Danio rerio: one gene and its partners. The protein of the gene in region 3 interacts with the protein of the main gene of each other region in a pairwise test. Links are inferred from orthologs where the notes say so. Each region holds a gene or a part of one and is shown on either strand. Other genes may lie near its edges. The genes, in order: stam2, rabgef1 and dazap2.

What was found.
Region 1: the proteins of dazap2 (region 3) and stam2 interact in binary tests that used the Homo sapiens proteins (3 or more experiments, as listed by UniProt). The two-hybrid records come from large-scale screens. The link is inferred for Danio rerio from reciprocal best matches to the Homo sapiens genes DAZAP2 and STAM2.
Region 2: the proteins of dazap2 (region 3) and rabgef1 interact in binary tests that used the Homo sapiens proteins (3 or more experiments, as listed by UniProt). The two-hybrid records come from large-scale screens. The link is inferred for Danio rerio from reciprocal best matches to the Homo sapiens genes DAZAP2 and RABGEF1.

What each region holds. Positions count from the first base shown.
Region 1 is NC_133184.1:39,754,750-39,759,054, reverse strand, and holds the start of stam2 (signal transducing adapter molecule 2), read right to left. Parts: upstream 2,954-4,305; 5' UTR 2,829-2,953; coding exon 2,789-2,828; intron 250-2,788; coding exon 165-249; intron 1-164. Other genes in the region: hacd2 (very-long-chain (3R)-3-hydroxyacyl-CoA dehydratase 2), read left to right, coding at 3,453-3,577.
Region 2 is NC_133185.1:37,879,298-37,883,590, forward strand, and holds the start of rabgef1 (rab5 GDP/GTP exchange factor), read right to left. Parts: upstream 2,857-4,293; 5' UTR 2,847-2,856; intron 1-2,846. UniProt on the Homo sapiens protein: Rab effector protein acting as linker between gamma-adaptin, RAB4A or RAB5A. Involved in endocytic membrane fusion and membrane trafficking of recycling endosomes. Stimulates nucleotide exchange on RAB5A. Can act as a ubiquitin ligase.
Region 3 is NC_133198.1:36,683,812-36,687,468, reverse strand, and holds part of dazap2 (DAZ-associated protein 2), read right to left. Parts: intron 2,898-3,657; exon of another isoform or gene 2,094-2,897; intron 1,889-2,093; exon of another isoform or gene 1,319-1,888; intron 917-1,318; coding exon 788-916; 3' UTR 1-787. UniProt on the Homo sapiens protein: In unstressed cells, promotes SIAH1-mediated polyubiquitination and degradation of the serine/threonine-protein kinase HIPK2, probably by acting as a loading factor that potentiates complex formation between HIPK2 and ubiquitin ligase SIAH1.

The DNA of each region.
Region 1 (4,305 bases), on a different chromosome or scaffold from region 3:
GCTCAGCTCTCCTCAAATGGCTCTTTATCGAACCGATATCTGATCCAAATATCAGGATCGGTGCATCCCTATATACTAGTGACATTAAGGTAACTACCTGGTAATAAAATTAGAATTTAGAAAAACTATTCATATATTGTTTGCGTGTTGATTTTTCAGCTCACCCATTTGGAGCTGTCCCGACACGGTCACAGATATCCATAATGAGGCCCCAGTCCTCCACTGTGTTGGTTTCACTAGTTGCTTTCTCTGAAAATACAAATGAGCATTCAAATGAGACTCTTAACGCAAGGTCATTCTAGAACCATATCAAAAAAACTGATAAGTGTTTGACAAACGTCTAAACCAGCAGGAGGAAATGTCTTCTCATTTACCATAAATGCTGTTAACAAAACACTAAAAAACTAAAACTAATAAAAACCACAATTTTAAAAAGAAAATCTTTTAGTTTTAGTTATCAGTTTTGCATCCCTGAGTTCGAAGGATAGGTTTATTGAAAATAAGATATGCATACCGTTAAGCAGTGACAGCCTGTTTTGCCTGTTATTTTACATTTACAGCTTGTCACAACAGGCACAACAGTTTCTGTCATAATCCACCAGCAGAAATTATTTGCCCCCTCCTTTAAGAACAAAGCAACTGGGCACATTTTTATGACTAATTCTTACTCGTAACAACGACGTCTTGAATTGCAACATCTAGAAAAGTACATATTCATGAATAAATAAATAAAATGAACAATAATAATATGCCTTAATTTCCTCCATAAAGGAACATACAGTTTCACACGTTTATATAAACTGAATTCTAAAAGGACAAAGCTTTGAAAATAAAACCAAAGATCATGCTATTGTGTGCTGTTAGGTTCCACGCCTTTTGACAACTGAGCTCCTATTAATCTTCCACCCATTCATGCTTACAAGAAATAAAAAATATAAATAAATCAAATAAAACATAAAATAAAACGTTTTTTTTTTTAAATCAGAAACTTTTAAAACAGGACATTTTGATCATAAGTATCAGCATAGTAATACATTATTATTTGTTATAATTACATTGTTTTAATTACAGTTATTTGTTATTATTTTATACTAAATTATATGAAACAATATTTTAATATAACATACAGAATAAATACCTGAATCTTAAGCTTACTAGAAATTAAAAATAAATATAAATAAATAAAATAAAACATAAAATAAAAACGTTTTTTAATTAAAAATGAACGTTTTGATCTTAAAATCAGCATGAATTATTATTAAAAATACACAATTATGTTTTATTATATTATTTTTAACTAGATTAATTTATTATTTTACACTAAATAATAATAAATAATATTATCGTAAACATCCAGAATAATAAAATCAAAGCATATAAAGAAAGTATTATTACAACTATTATTATTATTAAATTATTAAATATTAATAAATTATTATTATTAAATTATTATTACTTTTTTATATGACTTATTGGAGCATTAAAGAATTTTCATATTTCGTACTGAAGACCCTGCCACAAAAATATATATTTAAAAAATATTTTTGTCAGTAATCAAGCAATAAAATAAATTTAAAAACAATTTCAATATAATTTGAATCAAGGAGACATCCAAAAACAAAAAAACTTATGGTTTTGGTGTAGTTGTTTAAGGTTCCCTGTTTGGGCTTTTACTAACTTTACTTCATTGCCGTAGACTTCTATCAGTATGTTTTCGAATATCTTAATCTATTTGTTTATTACTATTCTTTTAATTATTTACTTTGAGCTGGCCTAATAGTAATAATAATTATAATATAATATATATATATATATATATATATATATATATATATATATATATATATATATATATATATATATATATACGTGTGTGTGTGTGTGTGTGTGTGTGTGTGTGTATTAAAATAAGCTTCTCCTGCTCACTAAGGCTGCCTTTATTTTTTGCCTTTATTACAGGACAAACTGTACAATTGTAAAATGGTATTGCACTATAAAATAACTGTTCAAAAGTACTTTATAATTTAATTTATTCATTAATTCCAGTGATTTTAAAGATGCTTTTTCAGCTTCATTACTTCAGAGTCACATGAGAAATCTCTCTAATATTAATTATTATGATTATTATTTTTTTATAATTAATGAAAAAAGTAATAAAAGCATTAATGAACGGAGTAATAATTTCATTTGAAACTACATACAATATTAACTAAAAAAATGAAGAATTTAATAAAAACTGACCTCAAACACTTGACCGGTACATATATATATGTGTGTGTGTGTGTGTGTATATATTTATAATTATCATTTGTTTTAGTATGTCTTTGTCGTTTATTCTTCAGTTTTTTATTCTTATTGTCACTATTATTGTTGTTGCCCTTATTACAAATATTAATATTATTCAAAAACCTGTATTCCTATATTTTGATTATTAAATGTATTTTCTTATGCACACTGCTATGCTGTCATCTACGTCATGTTTATTGTGTTGACATAATTCAAAATAAAAGAAATTTTGATGGAAAAAAGAATAATTTCAGCATTTAGTGTTCATCTAAAAAGTTCTTGAAATTCAAAACAACATCCCAAAGACACTGTCAGTTATCTATTTTACATTTGACAGCTTTAATAGTTAGATTTTGATAAATAAGTTATGAATGACCGATAAACAAAACAATAACAGAGCTCTTGAGGATCTTGCAGTGAACGGAGCGCTGCTGGATCGGCCCTTAGTTACTGACTTGTCAAGACCACATCACTTCGACAAAAACAACACTGCCAAACTCACCCACATCCTGATCGAACGGGTTTTGACCAAACAACGGCATTTTGTAACCTTTTCCTATGTGTCAAAGAAAAAAACTGAAGCGTATTATCTACGTAGATCGACGATTTATCCTTCTCTCATCCATTAAATTGCGTTCACTTCCACCAGTTGCTCTTCCGTAAACTTAGTAGACGAGCGCAATGCCTGCCAGAAAATACATCCAGGAAACTGTCAACATATTCTACATTTAAAGCAGCATGTTCACAAATTATATTAATACTCAAAATTTAACCAGTAAATTATTATACTTGTGCATATTTAAAAATATATATGTTTATATTTCAGACAGGCGCATAGGTTGAGTCAGAAGTGCGCTCTGACTTCAAGACTCGCACTGCCATCTAGCGGCTAGTTTAGATGTTTCTAGAACATCATAATTCACTTTAAATAATCTCAATATATTCACATACATTACTGTAATCATATTATTTTAGTTGTATTTGATGTAAATGCTTGCGAAAAAGACGACGCTAGTCTGTAACTGAAAAAACAAAGCATTGTTTACACTCTGTCCTCACCAGAGGGCGCTGGATTCATAAGCAGCTTTTTTACATGTCAGCAAGGCCACACGCCTTTATCCACCGGGACCATTGGATGATCCAGTCTTTCTAATGATAGTTCAGTCATGTCGGCACCTGCCATGGGGACCAGCAAAACAGCGCACAGTGAGTCCGGTCACAAGAAGAAAAAGGGCCCCGGAACACTGGCCACAGCATATCTGGTCATTTACAACGTGATTATGACAGCAGGGTATGGTGGAAATCAAATGCGCTTCCGTGCTTCTCTCTTCAAGCGTGTGTGTGTGTGTGTGTGTGTGTGACAGCAGAAATGAATGGTTGGATTTCTTCAGCCTGTATGACAGAATCGCGGTCACCTCCCCCATTGAGTCTATATTGTATTATTTAACACTGTTTAATTTGAAAGCTGAAACATTTCAACAAAGTTATTCTGCACATGTCTGCTGTGCAATCCAAATGCGGTGTAACGTAAAGCCTATTATCGCTTATTTAACTCGCCGTAGGGTTGGTGATGGGTGACAGCGAGCATTGGTTGTTGTTGCATGAATGCATTGTTCTTGTTTTACAGTCGCTGGTTTGTTTGGGCAGCGTTGTAACAGGGCTTGTAGTGAATTTAGTGTCTTTGTTAGTTTGAATGTAGCCTTGTATAGTTTGTAGACATTAGACTAGGCAGTGAATTAAGCGCACCTTAGACCTAGTAACCCAGAAACTGTTGCACAATAATGTCCGTTTCAGGAACTAATCGATTCGATTCGAGACAGCCGATTCGTTTCTAAATCACTCATCGTTGTTTTTTACATGAGCATATGTAATGTAAAGCTTATTTAGCAAATTCATGGCGAATGTGAAGCATTGGATATACTTTGTGACTATACTTTGCCTTAAATAAAAAAAAAAAAATAATGGATTTCTATTAATAAAATTATCCAAATCATTTGTTAAAATCACTTCTTTTAGTTT
Region 2 (4,293 bases), on a different chromosome or scaffold from region 3:
TTACAAAAGGTCCATATATCATCTGTATGTGCTCGCCATGAGATTCTACAGTGCAAAGTAGTCCACAGAGTTTACTGGTTTAAGTGTAAACTGAGTTGCATGTTCCCAGCTATTGATCCAAACTGTGACATATGTCAGGCTGAACCTGCAAATCTAGTTCACGTTTTGGACCTTGTTTCCTTTTTGGAAGTCTGTTTTTGATTCATTTTCAGAAATGACATCTGTTCAAATGTATCCTTTTCCGATGGCCTGTTTGGAGTTCTACTCCCTTACTGTGAGTTACCCGTTTATTTTTCTAAATTAGCAGCTTTTCTGTCATTATTGGCTAGGTGGTGTGTTTTGTAGCAGTGGAGGTCTCCTCAACCCCCATACCATACTCAATAGATTAAAGATGCCTTATTTTTGTTAAATTAGAAAAAAATAAATATAGTCAAGGTCCAGTGATCAAGTTTTCTAACATTTATTTGCCATTCATGGAGCATGTCAAATCTCTGAAACTTGAAGCAGGTACTGTCGAATGAATGGTTGAAAATCTTGCTCTTTTAGTCTGTACTTTCCAGATGAGTACTAGTCCTGATGTAGCACAAGCATAAAACTCTTCCAGACATAAAACCGCAAGTTTAAAGAATGTGCCACCCCCCTAGCATATTCAGTTTAATCCCCTTTTCTCTTGCTCTTTTAATTTTTTTTCTTTTTTCTTTTATTATCATTATTAATTTTACCTAATACACCATGCTGCCAATCTCAACTTTCGGTACTGACTTTTGTATGTTTAATTTGTTAAATGAATGCACATCATATATTGTTTATGCACATCATATACTGTTTGTTGCACAATATTAGGCTTATAGTGTGGTTCATTTTTATTCTTTTAATCAATTTTATACTGATAAATTTATATATATATTTTTTTCTCTGTTACTTTTGTTTGTTAACTGTCAATAAAAAAATAAATACATAAATAAATAAAAAAATTATTTAAAAAAGAATATTCAATTTAGGGTTGCACAATGTATCTTTTCAGCACTGATATCCCAATTTATGTATCCACAATAGTAACATCACAAGATCTGTAATGTCCAGTCAGGGTTATATTTGACCAGAAGCAAGTAACAGTTGAGAATACATGTTATTATTGGAGTGATTGCAAAGTTTATATAGTCCATCAGAAGTATCATATCCAAATATTAATAATTACTTGCCTAGATACTTTCAGTCCCATCTTATTTTATTAGTACAAAGTGGAAATAAAGTGCTTAGTGCATGCAAAACTCAAAACACAAAAGATACTTCTTTTCTCATTTGTATTATTTGTAAGGTAAAGTTGCCTAAAAGTGTATAGTTTTTTAAGGTCTGAGACTGTATGACCATTTCAAATGAGATTAAAATATTCAGTCACAAAAAAATGTGTTTAACTTTAAGAAAGATGAATTGAGCTTATGTACAATTAAGACAATAGTGTCGTTTTCATTTGCTTATTCATTTTCTGCACCTGAACACTGCTAGTCTCCCAGACAACAATTGTGTTTCATGTGTATCATTGCTCTACTGTTTTTATCAATTATTGTGATTGATTTATTATATTTTATGCAGATACACTTCCCTACAAAGTCATCCTGATAAACATCTAATTTTTTTTTCTCAAATGGAGCTATTCATTTCATTCGGTGAAATTAACTTAATATCACAGGAAAACAAAACACTGTCAGTTTTCCCAATATCGTGCAACCCTAATTCAAATTGTGGTATTTACTGCGATGTTCATCAATGCGCCCAAATGCTGAAGACTGAACAGGTCATTATTTCCAAACGCAAATATATTCACTTTAATCTGGCCTATGACATGCCTGAGATTGATTGAAAATGTTCTGATTCCAATTGTTAGTTCATAAATGTAGCTATTACTCACTGATAATGACACTTAATGCATTAACTAGTATTTAACAATGAGTCCCTTTTGAAAAGTCTAACCTGTTATACTTTATAATCTCTTTGGCGACTGAATTTGACACAGTTGTTTATTCTGGAAGGTTATGTACAATGAAGCTATTGCGAACACTGGCATTGTGAACTAAACATGCATGAAGCAAGTCAACAGGAGTTACATTACACAATTTGCTCTGCAGACAATACTTGCAGAGCAACCACAGATATCAACATTGCTGCCAACGAGATGAGTCATTTAAAGAGCATGACAAATGAAAATGAAAGTAATGAGATATTCATACTACCATATTAAAACTAAGATTGATATTTCAGAGGTAAATGGGAGGGAAATAAATAGTTTTACTGATTATTTAATATTAAGCTAAAGTCAATAATTTCTTAAATAAATTAGTAACTTGATTAATAAATCTGATGTCAATCAACCAATTGCGTAGAACAAACCAAAAAGAAAATGAAACAATTAAACATCTATTATAGTTTAAATGAATAAATACTTTAAGGACAAACTTTGATTAGCTAAAGTTAACTTAGATGACACTAAACTCAGCGTAATATTGGATTGACTTATATTGATTTAAGAATTGTATGTCTTATTTGACATTTAAATCCAGTAAATTGAGGTAACTTAATTATTTGTCTGGTTATTTTAACATGCGGGCAGAAACTAATCTTATAAGGCATATTTTATCTACCGAAAATAACAAAATGTCATTCAACCCGCCGCAGGCAGTCAACACATCAAGCTAGCAAAACAGCTACGTGGCTAAAAACAAACGCAACTCTTGGTTGGCAGTATATGGCATAACTCTGCAACTTTCCGTTTATAAATAGGCAAAACAACATATTTAAGAGATGAATGGCAAAATACAGTGTTTAATCTTAATACAGAGGACGTGTACCTCGTCAGCGGTCTCTTCTCCGGGTCACAACGACGTCATATCCAGGCGACTGGTGAGGGAGGGACACTGGCTGGGCTGATCTCGAAATGTCAACATTCACGAAAACGTAACCATAAAACAATTCCAGCTTCTTCTTTTAAATGGCTGTCCACATATAACATTAATTGAGACGTTACTTGGAATCTTCCACATAAGTATTTGCTAAATAACAAAGTAAAATAAATTACATATAAAATTTCAAATAGATGCTATCCTTGTAATAGTTTGGTGAGTAAATATATGCAAGATATTGAAAACAGACAACTGGGTAAAACTATATATTTCAATGTTTCCCTCTATTTGTTGGAACAATTATTGTGGAATTTGGAGTACATTTGGACATCAAAGAGGATGACCTAACTGCAATTTGTTTACTTATTTTACCTTAATTCTTCATTCATAAATGCAAAATTTTGAAAACAGCTCCTCAATTGATTGCCTTTAAAGGGGAGTTTGCCACCCATGTAGAAGCTTTAAAAAGTAATGAAGGGTGAGAAGGCTAGACATTTGTATGATATGTTTCAAGAATATGGTTTTATTTAACCCCTTACATGGTTTCTTTGTGATGTCTGCAAGGTATTTTGTATAAGTTTTTTGTTTTGTGTAAATTTTATGGCTTTATATTTGATTCACTGTATATCTGATATGTCTTAGTCAGTTTGTGCAAAATTATGTTTGGATTGAGTTTGGCCTAAATTGTTTTTGAAAGACAAAAAAATTAGTACATAAGATATTTAAAAAAAACAAAAGTATATTTTGTGACTTGGAAGAAATCATTGTGCATTTTTCTTGTGAATGTAATTGTTAAATTATTTTGGACCGAACCATATAAAGACAAATGTTGATATTTGTTTAAATACTTTTGGCGTAATATTTTTTTATTACAACTCTAAATCTTGCATTCAGTACATTGTTAATCGTTTTATTATAATGGGTAAGTTTTTTGTAAATTTATGTGTAAAGTTTTGGGGGGAAATCATTTTCTGGCTATTTTTTAAATTGACTATAAGTCATATATTTTGTTTTTAATGAGCATAAAAAACAAAAAGTCTTTTAAAAGTCAAAAAGTTTTTTTTTTCTTCTTCTTTCTTATCTGTATAACACAGATTGTAACAACATTTTTTTCTAATGTTCCAAGTTTCTGCACTCTATTATTGACTGTTTTTGAATCCAATAATAAAAAAGAAAGAAAAAAAACTATTACAAAAACATTAAATTTTTTTTATAAAGTTACAATCTCATAGCGTTCAAAATATGTGGCAAATGCTTTTAATAGATTGCAAAATATATGGTTTATTATCAGCACAATAAGAGCCAGTACAATAATGCAATACAAACTGTCTTCATCAAATGTACAACAGAACAAATATGCATCGGATTGAGCAACAAAGTTGAGCTCAGTTAGGAT
Region 3 (3,657 bases):
AAAAAAAAAGAAAGAAATCCAACTTTTCTGAACCGGTTTTGTTGATCTTGTTCGCACTCTCTTGTACTGCATTTAGGTTCATTCATATTTAAATTCCTTAGCTTTTAAATAATGGTGCAATTTTGGCACCTGATAACATTTATATAAGCTTGCCCAAAGGTACAATACACCACTGTTGTTGTTGTTTCAGTTTGTAAACACATCTTTCTCTTTGATTTAGACGGCTTAAATTCGCATTTGACATATCTGGCAAGACCGTAATAATGATATGAATGAGCATGGATAAGCGTACTATTCAAAGAGAAAGGTTTGAGTGCATAGCTACTTTACACAGATGATCAAACTGACCGGGCAGTTTTCTTGGCATGATCTCTGGCTCTAAAACCAAAACAAAAGTAGTACTGTTAAAAAAAATGAAGCTGCAAGAGGTATGCCAGTTCCGCTAAAGGTAAAAATGACCTGGTTTTCACCTTAAAAGTCGTCTTCCCTCTATAACCAATAATTAAACGACACGTATGAGCAAACCTACAATTACCATGCGCTTTTTTAATTGTGAATACGCATTACACATTATATAATTGCAATATTACACAATCATATCAACAGTGGCGCATTGTACCTCGAGTAAGGGGCTCTAAAATATTACATTCCATTAGATTAAATCAGTATTGTGGCTTAGCCAAGCAGCCCCAAAGGAGGCAGGGGGGTGGGAGAACAGGTAAAGGGAACCAGGGGGTGGGGAGGAAGGAAGGAGGGCTTCGGTCCAGGCCCAGAGGGGTGTTCACTGTTACCAGATGGTGTAACCACCGCTGGAGCCACCCATGAAAAAGTTGCCCTTGCGCTGTGTCATCACGACATTTGCACCCTGCATGGCTGCCATCTGAGCCGCGTTAGGGAGGTGTCCGGGAGGTGGAGGCTTCAAAAGAGAGAAAAAGATGGACATTTTATATACACAATTCATTTTCAGTCACATACATGCCAGGGGAAAAGGTCATAGCAGTGCATTTGCATCTATTTGTCTCAGTTGTGCAAAATACAGTTTTCATGGATTTCTAAAATTGTCCATTTTGGATGGTAGACTTTGAGAGGTGACATTTTCAAGGTAGACCGAAACCAGCAAAATTCATAAGACCTTCAAATAGAGCCAGTGTTTCTCAACCACGTTCCTGGAGGACCACCATCTCTGCACATTTTCCATGTAACCAAACACACCTGAATCAGATCATCAGCTCATTAGCAGAGACTGAAATACCTGTAATAGATGTGACAGAGAAAGGAGACATCCAAAACGTAGTGTTGGTGAGCCTCCAGGAACATGGTTGAGAAACACTGAAACACACTGAACCAGGAATTTTCAATTTACTGATTTAATGATGACTAAAATGGCTAGAAAAGTGGAATACATCACTTTGTACCAAACTAATCTGTAAACACGTTTGGCATAGCCCCTTCTTTCAATTCTATTATGAAATTATAGTAGGAGATTGCAGATTTGTTCTATTTTGTCACTCAATTTTTAACACTGACATTTGTCAAACATTCATCAGAAATAGTCAATAAATTTAGCATTCACTTCAAATGAATACTAATTAATGATCAGTTGACGCCCTACAGGTTGAAAGCTTCTTGCATATCACGATTTCACTTTTTTATAGGACTCAAAATGTGGGAAATCATACTATTATTATGGCTAACATTAATGTAATGTATGTAAAAGTAATAATTGTACAACTTATATTTACATAATGATATAATCAACTGATAACAGGTCAATATAATACATTCCATGATTTCACACCTTAAGTAATAATAAAAAAATTTAAAAAACGAGTACCGATTCTGATGCTTCAAGCTTTATAATGCATAAAGCACAGCATTTCACCTCCAAGTATGTTACAAGTATGAGAGCTCTCCTAAGAGCAGGGGTGTCCAAAGTCGGTCCTGGAGGGCTGGTGTCCTGCTGACTTTAGCTCCAACATGCTTCAACACACCTGCCTGGAAGTTTCTACTATACCTTGCAAGAGCTTGATTAGCTTGTTCAGGTGTGTTTGATTAGGGTTGGAGCTATACTCTCCAGGACACCGGCCCTCCAGGACCGAGTGTGGACACCCCTGCCGAAGAGAATAAATAAAGGATGTTGCACATATAACCCTAAACATGTCTCTTATAGCCGTTTAGTGTGAACATGTCAAGGCCAGAAGCAGCTTCATAGAAAAATAATAGATAAAAAAAATTGTTAAGAAAATTGACTATCAAAACAATGCAAATGACGGAAGAATTCAACACCTCTCAACGAAGAAAGGTTTGGAGTGCATATTTGATGCATAAGTTAAAATGCACACCTATAATTCTATACATCTCTAAAGGTCTAAAAACATGGAATATTTCATATTGATTTTATCTGAAGTCACGATATCAGCAGCTTACACTCATTTGTGGCAAACCTTCATGTCGTTTTCGGGTCAAATCTGACCGATTTACAATTTAAAACACTCATAAAAATTGTGTTTTACATCTGATTGCCTCGAGGCTTTATGATATCCTTCACACTATGTACTTGAACATATAGTGATGATCCCCTCTTTCATTTTCATTCAATTTTGAGTGTTTTAATCAATTTTGTTACACCTGTGGTGTTCCTGGTCAAAAGTAACCGCCATATGAAATGAATGGGTCTTCAGATTGGATTCATCTATCAGATAGAAAACACCCACCCCATCTCAATCACTTACTCACTCACACACTTATTTTAGACTGATTTTTGTTTTGTTTTTGTGAGCTCATTTAAGAGCAGTTAGAAGCAGAATGGTCAATTTTGACCAGGAACACAACAGTAGGGTTAAAAGTATCTACTTTTTTATAGTGCAGTATTTAAATGTAAAGTGTTTATGTTTTAATCCAACCTCTTCTTTTTTGATTTAATTGCAAGTGTAAAAGATGTCATTTTCTAAATTGTTGACATGTTAAATTGTACATCATGCTTTGTCAAATGCCTCAAGATATCAAAACTTACACCTGTGACTAGTAGTAAAATTCAAAATCTCGAGAGAAAGTTATGAATTCATTGCCATATCAGCTTCATTTTAGAAATTTCACTTTTCTATAATACACAAACAATAAAAAGGACATCACAGTAATAAATAATAATAAAATAATTTTAAAAAATTAGATTTAAAAAAATCATTTTGAGATTTACTTTTGATAAAAATTCTAGTATTTTTTGAAGGATTCCCATTTAAAAATATTCCCTTTAAAGTCTCGCCACATATTTTATTTATTTATTGCCACATCAGCAATTTGTGGCAATTTCATGGCAAAGTCAATATACATAAAAACATCATATAGGACTTGATACACAAACAAATATATAAATAAATACAATTCACAATAACTGTTTATTAAAAGTTAAATATGATTTTATAAATAACTTCATCATGATGAAACTTTTTATTGAACATCTTTCAAAGTGTTTTCTTTATAAAATCTTGTCCTTAAACATTCACAATCTAATATGATGTGTTTTATGGTGAGAGCAGCTTGACAGTAATTACATGTTGGTGGAGATAAAAATAAGGATAAAAATCATTGACTGATAAAATTAAAAATAAAGCATTTCCATAGTATGTTTTAAATTATCCTTTGAGTAAATGTCTATGA